Linked DNA regions of Drosophila melanogaster. The protein of the gene in region 2 purifies or fractionates together with the protein of the main gene of each other region. This does not show direct contact. Each region holds a gene or a part of one and is shown on either strand. Other genes may lie near its edges.

The links. The genes of interacting proteins can lie anywhere in the genome.
Region 1: the proteins of CG5746 (region 2) and gish purify together in Drosophila melanogaster (affinity purification with mass spectrometry, with the first as the bait; one large-scale study listed by BioGRID). This does not show direct contact.

The regions. Positions count from the first base shown.
Region 1 is NT_033777.3:16,271,018-16,276,014, reverse strand, and holds the start of gish (gilgamesh), read right to left. Parts: upstream 3,015-4,997; 5' UTR 2,685-3,014; intron 1,864-2,684; 5' UTR 872-1,863; coding exon 846-871; intron 1-845. Other genes in the region: Mat89Ba (maternal transcript 89Ba), read left to right, coding at 3,681-3,719, 3,776-4,997.
Region 2 is NT_033777.3:24,345,260-24,350,347, forward strand, and holds CG5746 (uncharacterized protein), read right to left. Parts: upstream 3,533-5,088; 5' UTR 3,403-3,532; exon of another isoform or gene 3,305-3,402; 5' UTR 3,216-3,304; coding exon 2,888-3,215; intron 2,822-2,887; coding exon 2,146-2,821; intron 2,041-2,145; coding exon 1,822-2,040; intron 1,728-1,821; coding exon 1,558-1,727; intron 1,502-1,557; coding exon 1,452-1,501; 3' UTR 533-1,451; downstream 1-532. Other genes in the region: CG6454 (uncharacterized protein), read left to right, coding at 4,049-4,212, 4,267-4,568, 4,631-4,976.

The DNA.
Region 1 (4,997 bases), 8.1 Mb from region 2:
AAAGCAGACGCCATAAGCCAAAAGCAACAAAAACACTTGCGAAAATAAAATAAAATCAAACACACAAGTTTAAATAGAAACATCTCTTTGCTAAAAATAAAATCGTTCGGCAAAAAAGGCAGCTACAACTAAATCTGTTGCTTGAACTTTTGACAATGTACAGTATTCGCTAGGAAATTAAAAGGAATTAGCTTTATGGAAATTTATTTATGTTAAACGAAATAAAATTATTTTAAACCAGACTCATTTTCTTTAAAAATTCGCAGTTTGCATTCGTTAATATTTTAAAAAGTTTTATGAGTGAAAGAAAAGCTAGTTCTATTGGTTAACTAAGCCAACCAAATCAAAACTGTTAGGTTTTAAAACTTGCAAACACGCGTTTCCCGACACAGCCATAATCTTATCGCTATCAAAATATCCAACCGCTTCTACGCCTGATAACAGTGTACTGTAGTACCGAATATGGAACATTTATGAGAACAGACGTCGCTTCCGTAGATAGTGGCAATGGTTTTTTAGCACGGCTTATCAATGCAAAATTATAAATAGTCGCAAGCCTATGGTCTCTAGTCAAAATTTGAGTACCGCTTGGAGTTGGAAGGTATAGCTAAGGGGCGTACAAAAGATTCAGATTCAAAAGCAGGGATAAAGCCAGTGGGCTAGATTCGCTTATCTTGATTTTCGATTGACAATAGAAAACTATAAATGGGTTTCAATACTGTAGCCAAAAGCAATGCCAACTTAAATGGTAGGATTAATTTTTAATTTTTGAAAGAGTCTTAGAACCATTACCTCTTTATGAATTTGGGGGATAATCGATATACAATTACACAATCATAACTCACCTTGCTTGCCGTTCTCGTCGCTGCATTTCGCCTAGCTAATCTCGCTTGAATTTTGATCGCTTTTCCGTAATTTTGATAATGATTTTTTTATCGACTGCCGCTGCTGCTTTTGTTTTTTTTTTTCCAACGTTGAGGCTGTTAATGTTGCTGACAGGCAACTGGTTTGATCCGAAATGCTGACTCTGTTTGACGAACAAACTGGAGGATCTGCAGGATCTGTGGGATGCGTGCGAATTGAGCGAATTATCCTCACCGCCCACACTCACACGCATTCGCGCACTCACTCACACTCACTTAGCGTCCGCGCATGTCGCGCATGCGAACAACACACACGGGAGATCCGTCGCTCTCTTTTGCTCTTTCCCCCGCTGGACGACAGGTGTGTGTACAGAGATTGCCTCTCTCCCTCTGTTCGCTAGCTTACAGTTATTCCAGTTGTTCCTTTTCCTTCTCTTTCTGCTGTTGTTGTTGTTGTTGCTATGGGGTCGTCGTTGTTTGACATCAAGTATGAAATTTGAGCAGCATCTCCTTGAAATTTCAGCTTTGGTGCTATACTTTCCGAATTTATTTTATGTTTTTGGTGAGCTGTGTGGTAGTTTAGTTATGTGTTCATATGTCAAAAGGCGGGCTATTTGTCGTAGGACTATTTTCCTATTGTTAATCGGCTTTAGGTTCCGGTGTAAATTAGCCAAGGCGAGTGTATCTATGTTGTTAAGAATTAAGGAAAACAGCCTCGTGCTACGCTGAACAACTATGTAAACAAATAATTTTGGCTAAACAATTTGACAAACACACTTTCGCACATTTTATCCAACAATTTTTGTGACAACAGATCTGAATCTCCGAATTCATTCAGATTGTTGCTATGATATTTTTCCTCCCAGTTTTTGATGACATTTTAGGCAAAAGGGACTATGTTGCTGTTTAAATATGTAGTTAAATTTCAATTAAGGGAAATTTAACCGGTCAGTATCACGCCTAAACTTTTAATGCTCACGATCGTGGAAATCAAAGCAATCTGAAAAATAAGAATGGAAAAGTTAAAGCAATTGTAAAAGAGCTGAATAAACAAAATTGTAAACGTAAAGATCGGTCTTAATTCCAAGCGCTTTGAATGTTTTGACGAAAGATCATGTTAACTGATACAAAATATAAAAAAACTCATATTACCGACGATTTAAACATTTTTCATTCTGTATGGATAATAAAAATAGTAAATAGACTAATGAATGTACGAAACTGCGGTATTTCTTTTGGTATGTTAGGCCAGCCATAGCGTATGCTGGTCACACTAAAAGCACTGATGAGAGCGCTAACTAAATTTGTTTTTTTTTTTCAATTGATTTTCATTTAATTTAGTAAGAGTTACTATTGACTTTAACTTAAAACTTTTAAAGTCATCGTCGCACAAATGAAAGTTACTCTCTTCTAAAAGGTACCAAATTAAAATTTAGAAAATTACAGAAAATTAGGCTAATTAGCTGCCATGGCCACCGCGCCGTATAAATTGTTGGAAAAATCTCTGGGGCCGCAAGGTCGAAGTAAATATTTCCGTACGTGATTTCGTTTATTTTTATAAATTTTCAAGTTTTGTTATTCGATGCAAAAAACGAGCCAAGGCGGCGATGGCCAAAGACCCAAAGAGAATAAGAGAGAGAAAACCAAGAAAGGCAGAGGGGCAAAGAGGCAGAGAGGGTGTAACTACTCGACTTTTGGCCATATTTTTTTCAATGGGCCTCCTTTCTGCCAACGCATCATTTTATAAGGTTTGCTTTGATCTTTACGGAATGAACGACTTGTGGGCTTTATTAATTAGGCAACTTTTAACTGCCGATTTACCTTTTATACAGTTTTGCACGCATTTTCATTACGCCTCATTTTTCACCCATACACTCTCACACGCACGCACGCACGCACAGACACAGTTACACACGTTCGGACCGAATATTGAAATTTGCAACTCGATTTGCTACTGTGCGCTCGTCGATTTCTGGATAACAACTTAGTTCACTACTTTTTATAAATTAAGCTGGGCTTGTGTTTAACTGATTTTCTACGAAACAATCCTCGAAAGACCAAAAAACGCACGCAAGAGAGCACGAGAAAAATGGTGCGATTTTTTCCCCTGCCTGCAAACACACACACACACGCTTATACATGGACAGAGACGGAGTAAGACCGTATAGAAAAACGAGGGAAATACTCTAGGCTGATTTAATGCTGATTACTGGTAAAAGAAAAATGGGATAATTTAATTAGCTTTTCCCGTTTATTTTAAACAGATACTTATATACTTGTGCTAAAGACAGAACTTACCTAAAGCCCTCTTTACATAAAAGATGTTTAAACATAATTATGAAATAAAAATACTGTTTAAAATACTGTTGCTGGCGAAACCAATTAGCCGGTAAATTTGTTTATCTACTCTTTAAAACTGTATAGGCCCACGGTAATATCTTTCGCGTTTAACTGATAATTTGTTTTTATAATATTATAAATTTTATCTTATTTATTGGTCCTGGATCCAAGGATTTCTCGGCAATTGGTATAGACATTTACACTTCACATTGTCTAAATTTGTAACTTATTCAACAACTGTGTACCATGCAATATATTTTGCTCTAATTTATTTAGTGTATAAAACCTTTTCAATATTTTAATTATAATTACGTTCGACACTGTTTTTGCGGCTGATTTGGGACTAAAAAACGAATCTGCCCAGTTCTAGGGTGACCATACAAAAACCTCTAATGAAATACCGAATTCTGAAATACCGCATCTGCAACACGTGCGAGTTTAGCTCTCTCTCCAACAAGTAAATAAATTTTATATTATATGCGATTTGTACAGGGAAACATCATGCCAGGAAAGTTGGTAAGATTGTCTAGATCTTTATGGAAACTATTTGGCCTATAACATACTTTGTTTAGGTGGGCTCTCCGAAGGGAGCTGCTCGAACAGGTACCCAAGCAATTGCACATGCCGGGGATCACAGCGACCTTGATGAACCAAAACCCAAAATCGCCAAGAGCGACCCACCATCCACTGCCATACCAAAGAAGAACAACTTCAAGCAGAGAGAAGGTACCAAGAATGTAAAGCCGCCCACTTTGGAGGAGATGAAGGAGCTACGAGACACCCAAAATCTCTTCCACTCCAATCTCTTTAAGCTTCAAGTTAAGGAAATGCTGGAGGAGCTGCAGTTAAAGCAGAAATACACAGATTTCATTGAAAACTGGCTTGAATCCTTTACGGCCTTTACCCGACAGCTAAAGGATGGCTTGATGGAGCGTACCCACTTGGAAGTTCCAATGAAGCTTTCTGAAAAGCCGACCGGATTTGTTTTCTCCAAGCCCACCAGGGAACCTTATCTGATCGGAGCCGCCGCCACGGGCACTTTGCTGGGTCCCAAAATTGTAGTGGATGTGGCCCTGGAGATGCCAAAAGAATCCCTGCACAAAGAAGATTACCTAAACCTTCGCTATGACCAGAAGCGAGCTTTGTATCTTACTTATGTGACGGAGAGGATGATGGAGTCCCCAGATTATGCAGAAGATCAGTTTAATTTCAACTACTATGCTAACAACCCGCTTAAGCCGGTTCTGGAATTGATCCCAGTTACTAAGCAAGTAAACAAGCACCTGCAAGTGCGTCTGTTCATCACTGCCCCATTAAGCAGTTTTAAGCCAGGCAGATTTGTTCCCTGGAACAACAATATTCGGCCCTCGTTTTACGGTGACGAATGGGACGAGAAAGATCCGCTGCCCTCCACCCAACACTACAACGCAAACGTACTGTTTGATCTAACTTTGTCCGAGAACCAGGCTCAATTGGATAAGGCCTTTAAGAGCAGGCGTAATTTTCAGGACGGCCTGCTGCTCCTTAAAGTATGGTTGCGTCAGAGGCAACTGGACATAGGTTACAGTGGGTTTGGTGCCCACATCTTAGCCGCTTTTATTGTGTACCTAAATACGCAGCGCATTCTGCATCAGTCAAGCAGCAGTTACCAAGTGGCACGCACTGTATGGAACCAACTGGCGAACACGGACTGGACGAAAGGCATTAGCCTGTCTGTTGCTCCCATTCAAACGGAAGAATTAAACAAGTTTGCCGAACACTATGACGTTTGCTTTATAGACTTCACTGGACAGC
Region 2 (5,088 bases):
ATTTTGTACTTTCAGTGCTTTCAGTTTGTAATTTTAGATATTTATCTAATTGAATTGTTATGGTACGTGTAAGCTCAATCATGGTAAAAATTCTCGATAATATATTTTCGCGACACTATCTTAAAAATTTGATTGACTGATGTCCTTGAATTTTCATAACGCATTCGGTATATTGCATTTTCGTTTAGTTTTTATCCTGAGTTTTGTTGATCAGGTATACTTGGCACTTTGATAATCGCTTGGCGATTAATTGTTCTATGTATTTGTTGTAATCGTTTCGTAAATACTTAAAACTCTGTTATTTCATTCATTTGTCTCTCATTTTTCTTGACTTGTATGCTTGCAGTGCAGCTTCGGTTCGTGAATATATTCAGTCTTACGTTTTTTTTTCACATTTTTCACTCATTATTCGTCTTTTGATTGATTGTTTTGCTTAATAATTTGCAGTTTTACTGATTGATTTCTTTTAAACAAAATATTTTAAATAATAATATGTACGCTTAAATAAGTTTAATGCATTAAACACATTTTTGAACATTATTTTATTGACTTTGATTATGGTTATGGTTTTTGCATCTTTTTCTAATATACTTTGTGTATTTCGTTACTTGTTTTTTTTTTCAGCTTAAATTTAAGGAGTTACATTATTACGAACTTTTTTTTTTGCTTAAATTGTCACTATAAGAGGTTTTTGTAAAACAAAAAAGTAATAAGTCACGCTTTTGTCACGTTTTTGTCATTCATAAAGAAAAAAACACAATCTTGCAAAATCATAAACGCTTTCAGATGCATGTGGGATAGAAAATAATTGTGTCGAGAGTGGATTGCGGTTTTCAGCTTAAAAACTAAAATATACATTGCATTCATTTGTATACAATTTTACATGATTCACAAAATGTTTAAATTTAGTTCATTCAAAAGATCATGTTACGTACTCTCATTTTTCCGTCATATAAAAAATATGATTGTAGCATACTTTGGTCACAGTTGACTTGTAATTGTAAATGGAACTAAGGAGGAGCACATTTAATTTTCTTAGGCTGGAGCTCAGTGCAGTCTAGCTCCGTTTGTCTATTTAGAGAACATTAAACAACAGGCAAGGCGGATTATTTCAATATATCTGTTCAGTACTCATGGGGAGACGAAACGGAAACAAAGGGGGATGTTAATTTGGGGTGGGGGTTTATGTAGAAAGACGTCGAAACACTAGTTTGCTTAAATGCTAAGAAAAAGAGAACTTTATACTTAAAACTAAAATTGTATGCTTTGAGTGACCGCGTATGTGTGTGTTTGCGTGTTATGTATAGCAAGTTAATTGTTGCATTAAACATATATTCCCTTCCATGTTACTCTGCCCTAGTCCCTTCTTATTTGGTTTTTTGGCCTATCGAAGCACGCGCAGCGTTCTGTTCTCTAGTGTGCCGTCAGGGGTGGGAGTGGGAAGTGGTTGTTTAGTAGTAGGCGGCTGCATTTGAATAGTTCTGCGAGTACGCCTGCGAATCTGAAAGAAGACACCGATGACGGATGATGCAACTGGAGGGAACTGAAATAACCTACCATAACCCGCGTAGGCACGCTCATCGTAGCCAGTGCTTTGCGCTCCGTGCTGGCTGTAGTCCGCTTGTCCGGTAGCATTGTAGTCCACTGCAGTCGAGCCATACTGTTGGCTGTAGTCCTGGCTGTACGACTGATACCGTGTATCCTGCGGTGCGGCATAGCCCGTCGAGCTGTTTGGAAGCACAAAGCAATACATTAGCACTTGCGTGGCCCAATTGAAGGCAAGAAACGTAGAGAGAGAGACGTCAAGATTAGGTAACCCACTTGTAGTTCTGATACTGGCTCTGATCGTATTCGGTGCTGTGGTGGGCTCCGTAGCTGCTGCTCGCCGGAGCACTTGTCTGCGATGTGTGAGCCGCATAGCTGCTGCTACCGCTCTGGCCATAGCCATTGTATCCCTGCTGGGTGGTCTGGGTGCTGTAACCGCTCTGCGCGTAGGGGTCCACTTGTTGGGTCTGCTCGTGTGTCTGATAGCTGTGATGGCTGATAAAGAACAGCGTCAAAAAATGTACCAATTATTTTTGCAGATTTAGAAAGTGTGCACTATATTGATTTGATTATATAATATTTGAAAATTCGATGCCTTACCTTTGTTGTGGCGCATGGTGACTTGGCGGCGAGCCATAAGAGGACTGCGAAGACATGCCGCCGCCTCCTCCACCACCCATATGCTGCTGTGTTGAATGGTACTTGGGCGTCATGGGCCGTTGGCCATATGGACCGCCCTCGTAGCGACCGCGTTTGGGACCAGGACCACCGGGAGCGCCGCGTTTGAGAGCTGGTACCGGTGCAAGTTGTGTATTGGGATTATGTGCCTGATGGTGATGCAAGGGTGGCCGACTCATACCTTGATTGTAGCCGCCCCTGCCCCGAGGACCTCCGCGCCTGGGCATCGAACCGTGCTCGCTGCCCGGACCGCCGCCCATGGAATTGCCGTGGTGGCTGTGGGAGCCACCGTACATGCTGCCGCCTCCACTGCCGTTCATGTGCGAATTGTAGCCGCCGCCACCACGTCCACGTCCACTGAAGGGACCACCACGTCCACGTCCACGGCCCAGATATGGAGGAGGTCCTCCTCCGTTGCTGCCCCCAGGAGCGGAACTGCCGCCATGCGAGTTGCCCGAAGACGGGACGACCGCTGATGTCTGGCCATCGGTGACCTCATCACCGGCTGCTTCAACCGCTGGCTGTTCTCCACTGATCGCCGAGGTGGGCACTGGTGATACGGTCTTGTTGTTCTCGGCACCTGTGTGTTGTTTGGGAGCTAAATTGGATTGGATTGGATTTACAAGGTATGGCAGGAAGTCGAGGGTTGTCTGCGGAAACTTACGCTGCGAGTACAAAGGTGGGCGACCGCCCCGCATGCCCATGGGAGCGCCACCACGCGGCTGATAACCGCCGCCGCGTCCCTGATAGCCCATTCCACCACGGGATCCACGCATTCCCCTCGGAGGACCCGACATCATGCCCTGCATGGGCGGTCCTCCGCCCATTCCGCTGCCGCCGCCTCCGCGCATGCCACCCATAAAGTGTCCACGACCGCCACGACCACGTCCGCGATCGAAGCCACCGCGCATAGGCGCTCCACCGCCCCGTCCACGGAAACCGCCTCCACGTGGACCGCCCATCGATGGCGAGGACACTGAGCCTCCTTCCATGCTCCTCTCTCGCTGTTCTCGTACACTAGATCACACGCACTACCACTTGCACTGGTATTCTTCGCACTCGGACGCGGATTTTAAGACTGCTGAAGCCGGAGGAAGAAGAAGAAGCAGCGTTAGGATGCCGCAGATTGACGATTCGAGGAACTATTGCTAGCGACTAATCGTTTCTATTGATGCTTACTGGTCACTTGGTCACTCGGCGCACTTTCAACAGTAGCTTATCTTAAATAACTTATTTAACTTAACATTATTCGGTGTGCGAAGCGCGTTGGTCTTCATTCAGTGAAAAAATATGGCGGCGACTATTGATTTTTGTTGCAGCGCTGCCCACTCGTCGCTCTTTTGCGCCAGTGTTGTCATCCTTCAGCGACAATATAGCTATGAAAACTTGTTATTATAATTTTCCAAGAGTTAATATACAAAACAGGTTAATACGTAATGAATTAATTTATAGTTCAAACAAATAGAGTCTAGTCCATAAACATGCATTAAAGATATATTCAAACTCCGGAGGGAATGAGTTTAAGCAAATTTTAGTTGGAATGGTGATCGCTAGTAGTTAGTTTAGAATTGATGGAAACACTTAAGATGATTATTGCTTAATGATTTAAGAAACTGCTCCACTCTCATTCAAAAAAGCAAATTAAAACATTGAGCAGTCCCAGCACAAGTAACTAATCTGTAGGTAATTTGCAATTCACGGACCACGGCCACACTTGGCACTGGGAAAAATGGAAAACACAAGATAAAACGTGAACCCTTTGGTCGAAATTCGGTGGTCACAATCTGGTATCTGGTGAAAAGGGACGACAGGCGAGTGCGACAGGATGCCGGGCAAGGTGGGGGTGAAGATTAAGGCGGCGCGCAACCTGCCCGTGATGGACAAAAGCAGCGAAACCACGGACGCCTTCGTGGAGATCAAACTGGCCTCGGTGACCCACAAGACGGATGTCTTCCGCAAGAGTTTGAATCCCACCTGGAATACCGATTGGTGAGGTCTGACCATTCAATAGCTCCATATATTGTAACATTTGCTTTCTGATAGGTTCCGTTTTGAGGTGGACGACGCTGAGCTCCAGGATGAGCCCCTGCAAATCCGCCTGATGGACTACGACACGTACTCTGCGAACGATGCGATTGGAAAGGTCAACATCAGTTTGAATCCTCTGTGCCTGGAGAGCTCTAGTCAAGCGGTGCACGGCAAGGGTACCGTGTTATCCGGCTGGATTCCTGTTTTCGACACTATGCACGGTATTCGCGGCGAGATCAATGTGATTGTGAAGGTTGACCTGTTCTCGGACGTCAACAAGTTCCGTCAGAGCTCCTGCGGCATCCCCTTCTTTCACTGTATAAGCAGACAAATATTCTCTAAAGAAATGGTCTATTAATTATCCTTTTATCTCCAACAGCTCAGTGTGTGCCATTTGGCTACCGCGCCCAAGTGATTCATGGCTTTGTCGAGGAATTGGTGGTGAATGACGATCCGGAGTATCAGTGGATCGACAAAATACGCACACCGCGTGCTTCCAACGAGGCTCGCCAGGTGGTGTTTCTCAAGTTGTCGGGTCAGGTGCAGAGGAGAATGGGCCTAAAGGCTATTAATATGGGTGCTAATGCAGTCATCGGCTATACCCAGTGCTTCGATTTGGAGGGCGACGTGGGTGTGGTAGCCCGAGGCATTGGAACGGCTGTGACGCTGATCAAGGACACCAGCACAAGCCAACCAAATAGTGCGGATGTGGCACTGATCGAAGAGTGAGTATTTGGTGGCACTAGTCGCTGTCTGATTACTCATAACTTATTAATTCTTTTGCTATTTACTATACTCTTGCAAAGCAATTGTCATATTTTAGCTGTCCGATTACAT